Saccharomyces cerevisiae S288C: one gene and its partner. Changing the gene in region 2 together with the main gene of any one other region gives a genetic interaction. Each region holds a gene or a part of one and is shown on either strand. Other genes may lie near its edges.

Evidence for each region. A genetic interaction does not mean that the proteins touch.
Region 1: of KAR4 (region 2) and RME1, changing one suppresses a phenotype caused by changing the other (phenotypic suppression), as found in Saccharomyces cerevisiae (one study listed by BioGRID).

What each region holds. Positions count from the first base shown.
Region 1 is NC_001139.9:582,490-586,204, reverse strand, and holds RME1 (Rme1p), read left to right. Parts: upstream 1-2,312; coding exon 2,313-3,215; downstream 3,216-3,715. Other genes in the region: TAM41 (putative phosphatidate cytidylyltransferase), read right to left, coding at 153-1,310; YGR045C (uncharacterized protein), read left to right, coding at 1,909-2,271. UniProt on the Saccharomyces cerevisiae protein: Involved in the control of meiosis. Represses the transcription of the IME1 gene thereby inhibiting cells from entering meiosis. But also activates the CLN2 gene thus promoting mitosis.
Region 2 is NC_001135.5:25,275-29,560, forward strand, and holds KAR4 (Kar4p), read left to right. Parts: upstream 1-2,654; coding exon 2,655-3,662; downstream 3,663-4,286. Other genes in the region: PRD1 (metalloendopeptidase), read left to right, coding at 1-1,632; PEX34 (Pex34p), read right to left, coding at 1,651-2,085. UniProt on the Saccharomyces cerevisiae protein: Component of the MIS complex, a complex that mediates N6-methyladenosine (m6A) methylation of meiotic mRNAs and is required for initiation of meiosis, progression through the meiotic divisions and sporulation.

The DNA.
Region 1 (3,715 bases), on a different chromosome or scaffold from region 2:
TGTATATTATCTAGAAGAAGGTAAAAATAAAGATGAATAAATATTGACCGACGCCAGAGATTTGGAATGTGAATAGAGCGATTCTTCGAAAGAGATGAAAGGACGATAAAACATTTTTGATAAAAGATAATGTGTAGATAACATTGGATACACTAGCTTCTCCTCATCGATTTTAGTTTTTTGGCCCAAGCATACTTAATTGACTTTGTGATTCCAGCTGTGAAAACACCTTTAATAGTTTGTAATGCACTTGATTTACTAATACGGCTGAGCAAAAGTCTCTGAGTATTCTTTAATGTGAACCCTTTTGGAAGATAAAATGAATCATTTAGGACCACTTCTTTGTAAATCGGCTTGTAATACTCTTGAAATCTTTCAAAGTTTTTGGTAACAATGTTGTTAACTTTGTCGGGATTTTCTCCACCCAGTTTGTATCTAATATCACCTGCATAACTTAAGGCAGTGATCTCCTTGTAAAATTGGAATTCGTCAAACTTATTGTTATTTTTCTCTAAGGTGTAATGTTTGGCCAAAGTAGCTGCAGCTTTTAAGTTTAATTGGTTCCAATATTGCACTCTCAAATCATTCTTCAATATTTTTACAGGCTTTTGTAGTCGTCCTGCTAAATAGAATGTATTCCAAGTAGCTATGTCCTTTAAAAGTGTTTCCATAGAAACCACCCCATATTTTACGTCGTGTCCATTTATATTTGCAAATGGATTAAAATATACGCCTGCGCCGATCTGTTGAAATTTAGACACGAACTCGGAACCGAAGTATTTCAAACTTGAATAATGTTGCGGATTCTGCCTCATATTAATAGAGTGAAAATGTGATGGATATGTGACGCCCAAGATTATATCGATTTGAGGTTTGCTATGACTTTTGGAATATCCCGCTTGTTCGAAAACTCCTGAGCCGTAACCAAATACAAACCGGCACGGAGCTTTGAAGGATGACATTACCCCATCCAGTTCCTTTTGAAGTTCCTTATCGATAGTAATGAGCTGGTTACTTCCATAGTTGGGGGGCAATCTGTGAAACTTGTACATATAATTTGTAAAATTGGAAGTCATTTCGTCAGTTTTTCTTATACCTTTTTCCAAGAGGTCCAGATCACTGCCTTTAGTAATTCCCTCGATGTAGTGATTCGGCCTTTCGTTAATAGTTCCATCGGGGATAATGCCAGCATCATCTATGGAACTTCTCCCCTCCTTTATTTGAGTACTCAGAAGCCTATTAAACATGCTTACGTTCGTTGAATGGCATTTCAGCAGAAACCGTAGACCATTTTCAGAAACTCGTAACATAACTTCAGGATATATCAAAGTAAAAAGCAGCTCCTATTAATTCAAATTATTAGCTCAATCCTATAGCAACGTTTCTCAAGTTTAATTGTTTTGAAGGTTTTAGAACCTTTTTCACATTATTTAGTCCGTCGAAACATCTACTCTTTACTATTTATGGCTAAACAGGCTGAAGGGTATGATTTCTTTTCTTTTCTTTATTCATGTCGGGTAAGAGAAGGTCACTTGACCTATGATGTGGGGGCAAATAATAACGTGGGAATAACAAGCGCGCTACTGGTAAGTGAAAAACTAAGATAACAGTTGAATTTCGTGTTTAGATGCTATAGAGAGTCTGGTACAGCATTGGCGATTTAAGACTTCTCTAGTCCACATTTCTTAAATTCAAAATCACAAGCGCCTGTTAACGATCATTTTATAATCTACGATGTGTAAATGCAAAAAGTGCTTTCCTCCCTCTTTAGTTTGGACAGGGATAGTGGGTAAACGAGTAGCATTATGAGTGCATACATTGCCAGAAAGAAACCGCAAAGCGGCATATCTTTTTTCTTCTTTCTGTTGTAAGGGATGCTTCGTCACGTAAAATGGCCGCCGGAGTGAGATGTCACAGATTACATCAAAAGGTCGGCGTATACTGGATAAGAAAATCCGAACTTTTCCGGTGGGCTTTACCAGCAGAAAAGTGGCCGGGCATGTATTAAATATATCACCGTATTTTCTGCTGGCTTTTTCTTATGCAGAGAACAAAGGCCAGAGTGCCTTCGAGGAAATTAAAGGGAGCAATGTGATAGATATGTCCTGTGTCATTTGCTTCAATTTTTCCTGCCATTTATTTGTAGTTATATTTATATCTAGATCAACCGAAACTATACCAACGACGAAGCTGCTTCTTAGTAAATATATTTTCTACTGTGTCAACGCATTGGAACTGACATTGTTCTTATCCTATAAGTCATACAGTTGAATTTGTTAATTCTTTACTAGAAGTTGGGATTTTCAGCACTTATGTCACCGTGTTATGGACAAAACAGTGCCATCGCCAAGGGGTCTTGGAACAGAGAGGTTTTACAAGAGGTGCAACCGATTTATCATTGGCACGATTTCGGGCAAAACATGAAAGAATATTCGGCATCACCCTTAGAGGGGGATTCCAGCCTGCCTTCCAGCCTGCCTTCCAGCACTGAGGACTGTTTACTACTATCATTAGAAAACACAATCACAGTTATAGCCGGAAATCAGAGACAGGCTTATGACTCTACGTCGTCTACTGAGGAAGGTACAGCACCTCAATTACGGCCGGATGAAATAGCGGACAGTACACACTGTATCACGTCATTAGTTGATCCGGAGTTCAGAGATCTTATTAATTATGGACGTCAAAAAGGAGCAAATCCTGTATTTATTGAGAGCAATACAACAGAACAATCCCATTCACAGTGTATTCTAGGCTATCCCCAAAAATCGCACGTGGCACAGCTATATCACGACCCCAAAGTACTCAGCACAATTTCCGAAGGGCAAACAAAAAGAGGAAGTTACCACTGTTCTCATTGTTCTGAAAAGTTCGCAACGTTAGTTGAGTTTGCCGCGCACTTAGACGAATTCAACCTTGAAAGACCGTGTAAGTGTCCCATAGAGCAATGTCCCTGGAAAATATTGGGTTTCCAACAAGCAACTGGTCTGAGAAGACATTGTGCTTCCCAACATATAGGAGAGCTTGATATAGAGATGGAGAAATCATTAAATCTAAAAGTAGAAAAATATCCAGGACTGAATTGCCCATTTCCTATCTGTCAGAAAACGTTTAGGCGCAAAGACGCCTATAAGAGACATGTGGCCATGGTGCATAACAACGCTGATTCAAGATTTAACAAGCGTTTGAAGAAAATTTTGAACAATACCAAATAGTTGAGGCATTAAAAATGTACCCCATGAAACTCTTGTTAAATTTGTGCAGGCATGAAAGCTACTGTATTTTTTCTTAAAGTAATAAAAATAAAACACAATGATATTAAAGAAAACGCATGCAACTATGGACACTTGCTATGTCGTGAATATGGCACCACGTTGGTTACTTAGCTAAATAAAAAATCGTAAGTACTCGCATTTTTTCTTCTATATTCACTTTGCTTCTTTGGACAGTTATTTCAATAATAAATATTTCTTTTTTTCTAATCTCCCTTATCACCTAAGAGGAAAAAGTTTGAAAATAAACTTATGGCTAGAGGTTATTTGGTATTCCGAGAAAACATTTGAAACTAGGAAGTTTACATATCAGTGCAATTATGTTTCCTTCGATGATTCACGTACCCTCAAAGTCAGTACCATAAAATTGAAAATAAGACAGGTGTTTTTTTTTTTTTTTTTAATCATACAAGAATTCAACCACTTAAGTAGGATATTAGCGC
Region 2 (4,286 bases):
GGTTTGGAACTTGACGAGGGAAACCGATTGAAAATCAAAGAGATCAAAAAGAAGATCTCCGTTAACTCTATTAATTTTTCGAAGAATCTGGGAGAACAAAAGGAATACATCACTTTCACCAAAGAACAATTGGAAGGTGTGCCGGATTCTATTTTGACGCAGTTCGAGACAATAAAATCTGACAAAGATAGCAATGAAACCTTGTATAAAGTCACCTTCAAATATCCGGACATTTTTCCCGTGATGAAATTGGCATCCTCAGCTCAGACTAGAAAGCAGGCCTTTTTGGCCGACCAAAATAAGGTCCCTGAAAATGAAGCTATACTGTTGGATACATTGAAGCTGCGTGACGAATTGGCCTCGTTATTGGGCTATGACACGTATGCGAACTACAACCTGTATGATAAAATGGCTGAAGATAGCACTACGGTAATGAACTTTTTGAATGATTTGAAGGACAAGCTAATTCCGCTGGGCAGAAAGGAACTACAGGTCTTGCAAGATATGAAAGCCGAAGATGTTAAGAAACTTAACCAGGGTGCAGATCCAAACTACTACATTTGGGACCACCGTTACTACGATAACAAATATTTGTTAGAAAACTTCAATGTGGACCTAGAAAAGATTTCTGAATATTTTCCACTAGAGGCTACGATTACTGGTATGCTGGAAATATACGAAACATTGTTTAATTTGAAGTTTATCGAGACGAAAGATTCTCAAAACAAATCTGTTTGGCATGACGACGTCAAACAAATCGCCGTTTGGAATATGGATGATCCAAAGTCTCCAAACTTTGTTGGTTGGATTTATTTCGATTTACATCCTCGTGATGGTAAATATGGCCACGCTGCCAATTTTGGTTTATCGTCATCATTCATGATTGATGACACCACAAGATCGTATCCGGTTACTGCGTTGGTTTGCAATTTCTCCAAATCTACGAAGGATAAACCTTCTCTACTGAAGCATAACGAAATAGTGACCTTTTTCCATGAATTGGGCCATGGTATCCATGACCTGGTGGGACAAAACAAGGAATCGAGGTTTAATGGCCCCGGATCTGTTCCATGGGATTTTGTGGAGGCACCTTCCCAAATGTTAGAATTTTGGACTTGGAATAAGAATGAATTAATCAACCTCTCATCACATTACAAAACGGGCGAAAAAATTCCAGAATCTTTGATCAATTCATTGATCAAAACTAAACACGTAAATGGTGCTTTATTCACTCTAAGACAATTACATTTTGGGTTATTTGATATGAAAGTACATACTTGTAAAGACTTGCAAAACCTGTCAATTTGCGATACCTGGAACCAATTGAGACAGGATATTTCTTTGATTTCTAATGGTGGTACGTTATCCAAGGGTTATGATTCATTTGGCCATATAATGTCAGACTCTTACTCTGCCGGTTATTACGGTTATCTATGGGCGGAAGTCTTTGCAACTGATATGTATCACACCAAATTCGCTAAGGATCCGTTAAATGCCAAGAATGGGATACAATACCGTGATATTGTGTTGGCTCGTGGTGGCCTTTATGATATTAATGATAATCTGAAAGAATTTTTGGGTAGGGAACCTTCTAAGGATGCTTTCTTGAAGGAGCTGGGCTTACAGAACTAAATTCGTTCAAGCATAAAATTATACAATTATTCTACAAAGTGTTATTATGTTAGATAATCTTTTAAATAACCTCGTCCCTGGATAGATTAAAACCATTAAATAGCTCAAATCTTGGAGTAAAGCAGCAGTAATATGTCTGATATGTTCGTTATATTTTTTCTTGAAGTTTATCAACTTATCCTTTACTAGACCATTTCCCTCCCCATCCAATCGTTGATCGATTTTAAATTTCACCTTGCATAATTTTATTAATTTCCATACACATTTTATCACTGAAATGCACGAGTAACACAGCCAAACTTTCCGTAATAGCCCACTTACATATAACTTATCGTTGACCACGCCTAGGTTTTCCAATACTGCGAAGAAATCAAGCAGCGAACTTACACCACTCCATATATTCTCCCATATATCTTTTGCACTGATTTCAGCCGTATTTTTCTTCGAAACCATTCAACTTTCTTTTCTTCTTCCTTTACTTTTATTCATCTCCTCTTTACTTCTTACCTCAGAGTCGAACATTGAAATCATTTCCCGCGAATTTTTCGATTATAATTACCCTTTCTACTTAACAAGAAGCAATAAGAGCAAAGGGGCGAAATGCTTGTCCCATACTTTGGCTTTTGGATGTGACATTAGGAGCCTTATCTCCTCTTAATGCCTTAAGTCAAAAAATAGTTTTTGGGATATATCTTGTGATCAAATGCTTTGCAAAAGGGTAAAACAGCGTTTACAATAGGATAGCCAAAAGTAAAAAAAAAAAAAAAAAAAAAAAGAAGGAAGTTAGTATCGAGCTCAAACAATTTTAGTTTTGCTGGACATATTTTCAGTTTCATTACTGTATATTTGCAGCTTGGTTTTTGTCGCTCTGTAGTCTTGTTTCACACTTCGTCATTTCCGAGTTTCATCTTGCGACATAACTTGTTTCAACTTTTCAAGTGCGACTTTTTGTTAAATATTATGACATAGAAGAAAGTAGAACAGCCATTATAAAACAAAAGAGAAGTGAGAATACTATTAAGATGGCATTCCAAGATCCAACTTACGACCAGAATAAAAGCAGACACATCAACAACAGTCACTTGCAAGGGCCAAACCAGGAAACAATAGAAATGAAATCTAAACACGTATCATTCAAACCCTCTAGAGACTTCCATACAAACGATTACTCGAATAACTACATTCATGGGAAGTCGCTACCGCAACAGCATGTTACTAATATTGAGAATAGGGTTGATGGCTATCCAAAACTTCAGAAATTATTTCAGGCGAAAGCTAAACAAATAAATCAATTTGCCACTACGCCATTTGGGTGTAAAATCGGAATAGATTCCATTGTTCCAACGTTGAATCACTGGATACAGAACGAAAATTTGACTTTCGACGTGGTGATGATTGGCTGCTTAACAGAAAATCAGTTTATTTACCCAATTTTAACCCAATTGCCATTGGATAGATTGATCTCCAAACCAGGTTTCCTGTTCATCTGGGCCAATTCTCAAAAAATCAATGAACTTACTAAACTTTTGAATAATGAAATATGGGCTAAAAAGTTTAGAAGAAGTGAAGAATTGGTTTTTGTTCCTATTGACAAGAAATCACCGTTTTATCCAGGTTTAGATCAGGACGATGAAACGTTGATGGAAAAAATGCAATGGCACTGTTGGATGTGTATCACAGGTACAGTAAGGAGGTCTACAGATGGACATCTTATTCATTGTAACGTAGACACTGACTTGAGTATCGAAACGAAGGACACCACTAATGGTGCTGTACCATCCCATTTGTATCGTATTGCAGAAAACTTCTCTACCGCGACTAGACGATTACATATTATTCCTGCAAGGACTGGTTACGAGACACCCGTCAAAGTAAGACCTGGCTGGGTTATAGTGAGCCCAGATGTTATGTTGGATAACTTCTCACCCAAGAGATATAAAGAAGAGATAGCTAATTTAGGTTCGAATATCCCATTAAAAAATGAGATTGAGCTGTTAAGACCAAGAAGTCCAGTACAAAAAGCACAATAAAGCATCAACACATAAATCCTTGCTTAGCTCAATTAAATATACTAGTAAATAAGTATATAAACAATAATTTTGCATTTTATTTTACTGGAAACTCTTCTCAAAACCAAATTGCGCAAGGATTGATTCAGTACAATTATGCAAACTCGAAAAGTAAATAAACAAAAAGATACAGTTGAGTGAAAGGTAAATAAACATTATTCTACTTGATTTTCCTCTGTTTTTTCCATTTTTCTTTTTTGTCTTTTCGTGTTCTAGCGTGTTCACTTTTTCAGCCATGTAATTACTTAAATAGGAAGTTTACACGATGTTCTCGCATAAAAAGCTGGAAGTGCAGAACAAAGAGGAAGAAAATAGGAACAGAGAATTTGTTTGTTTATTTGTTTGTTTGCTTGTTTGTTTGTTTGTTTTGATTTGAAGTCGAGGTACTTATTCGAAATAATTATTTTGCCCAGGGTTTTGGATAGTTTTTTGTTTTCCAATTAGATTTTTAGAAATATTTTATCATAGTTTTTTGTTTATTTATTTGTTTATTTATTTGTTGATTTGTTTATTTATTTGTTGGTTTGTTTATTTAAGTTTGTAAATGTTTAATAAACAAAACAATATTTGCAAGCCATTGAAAAC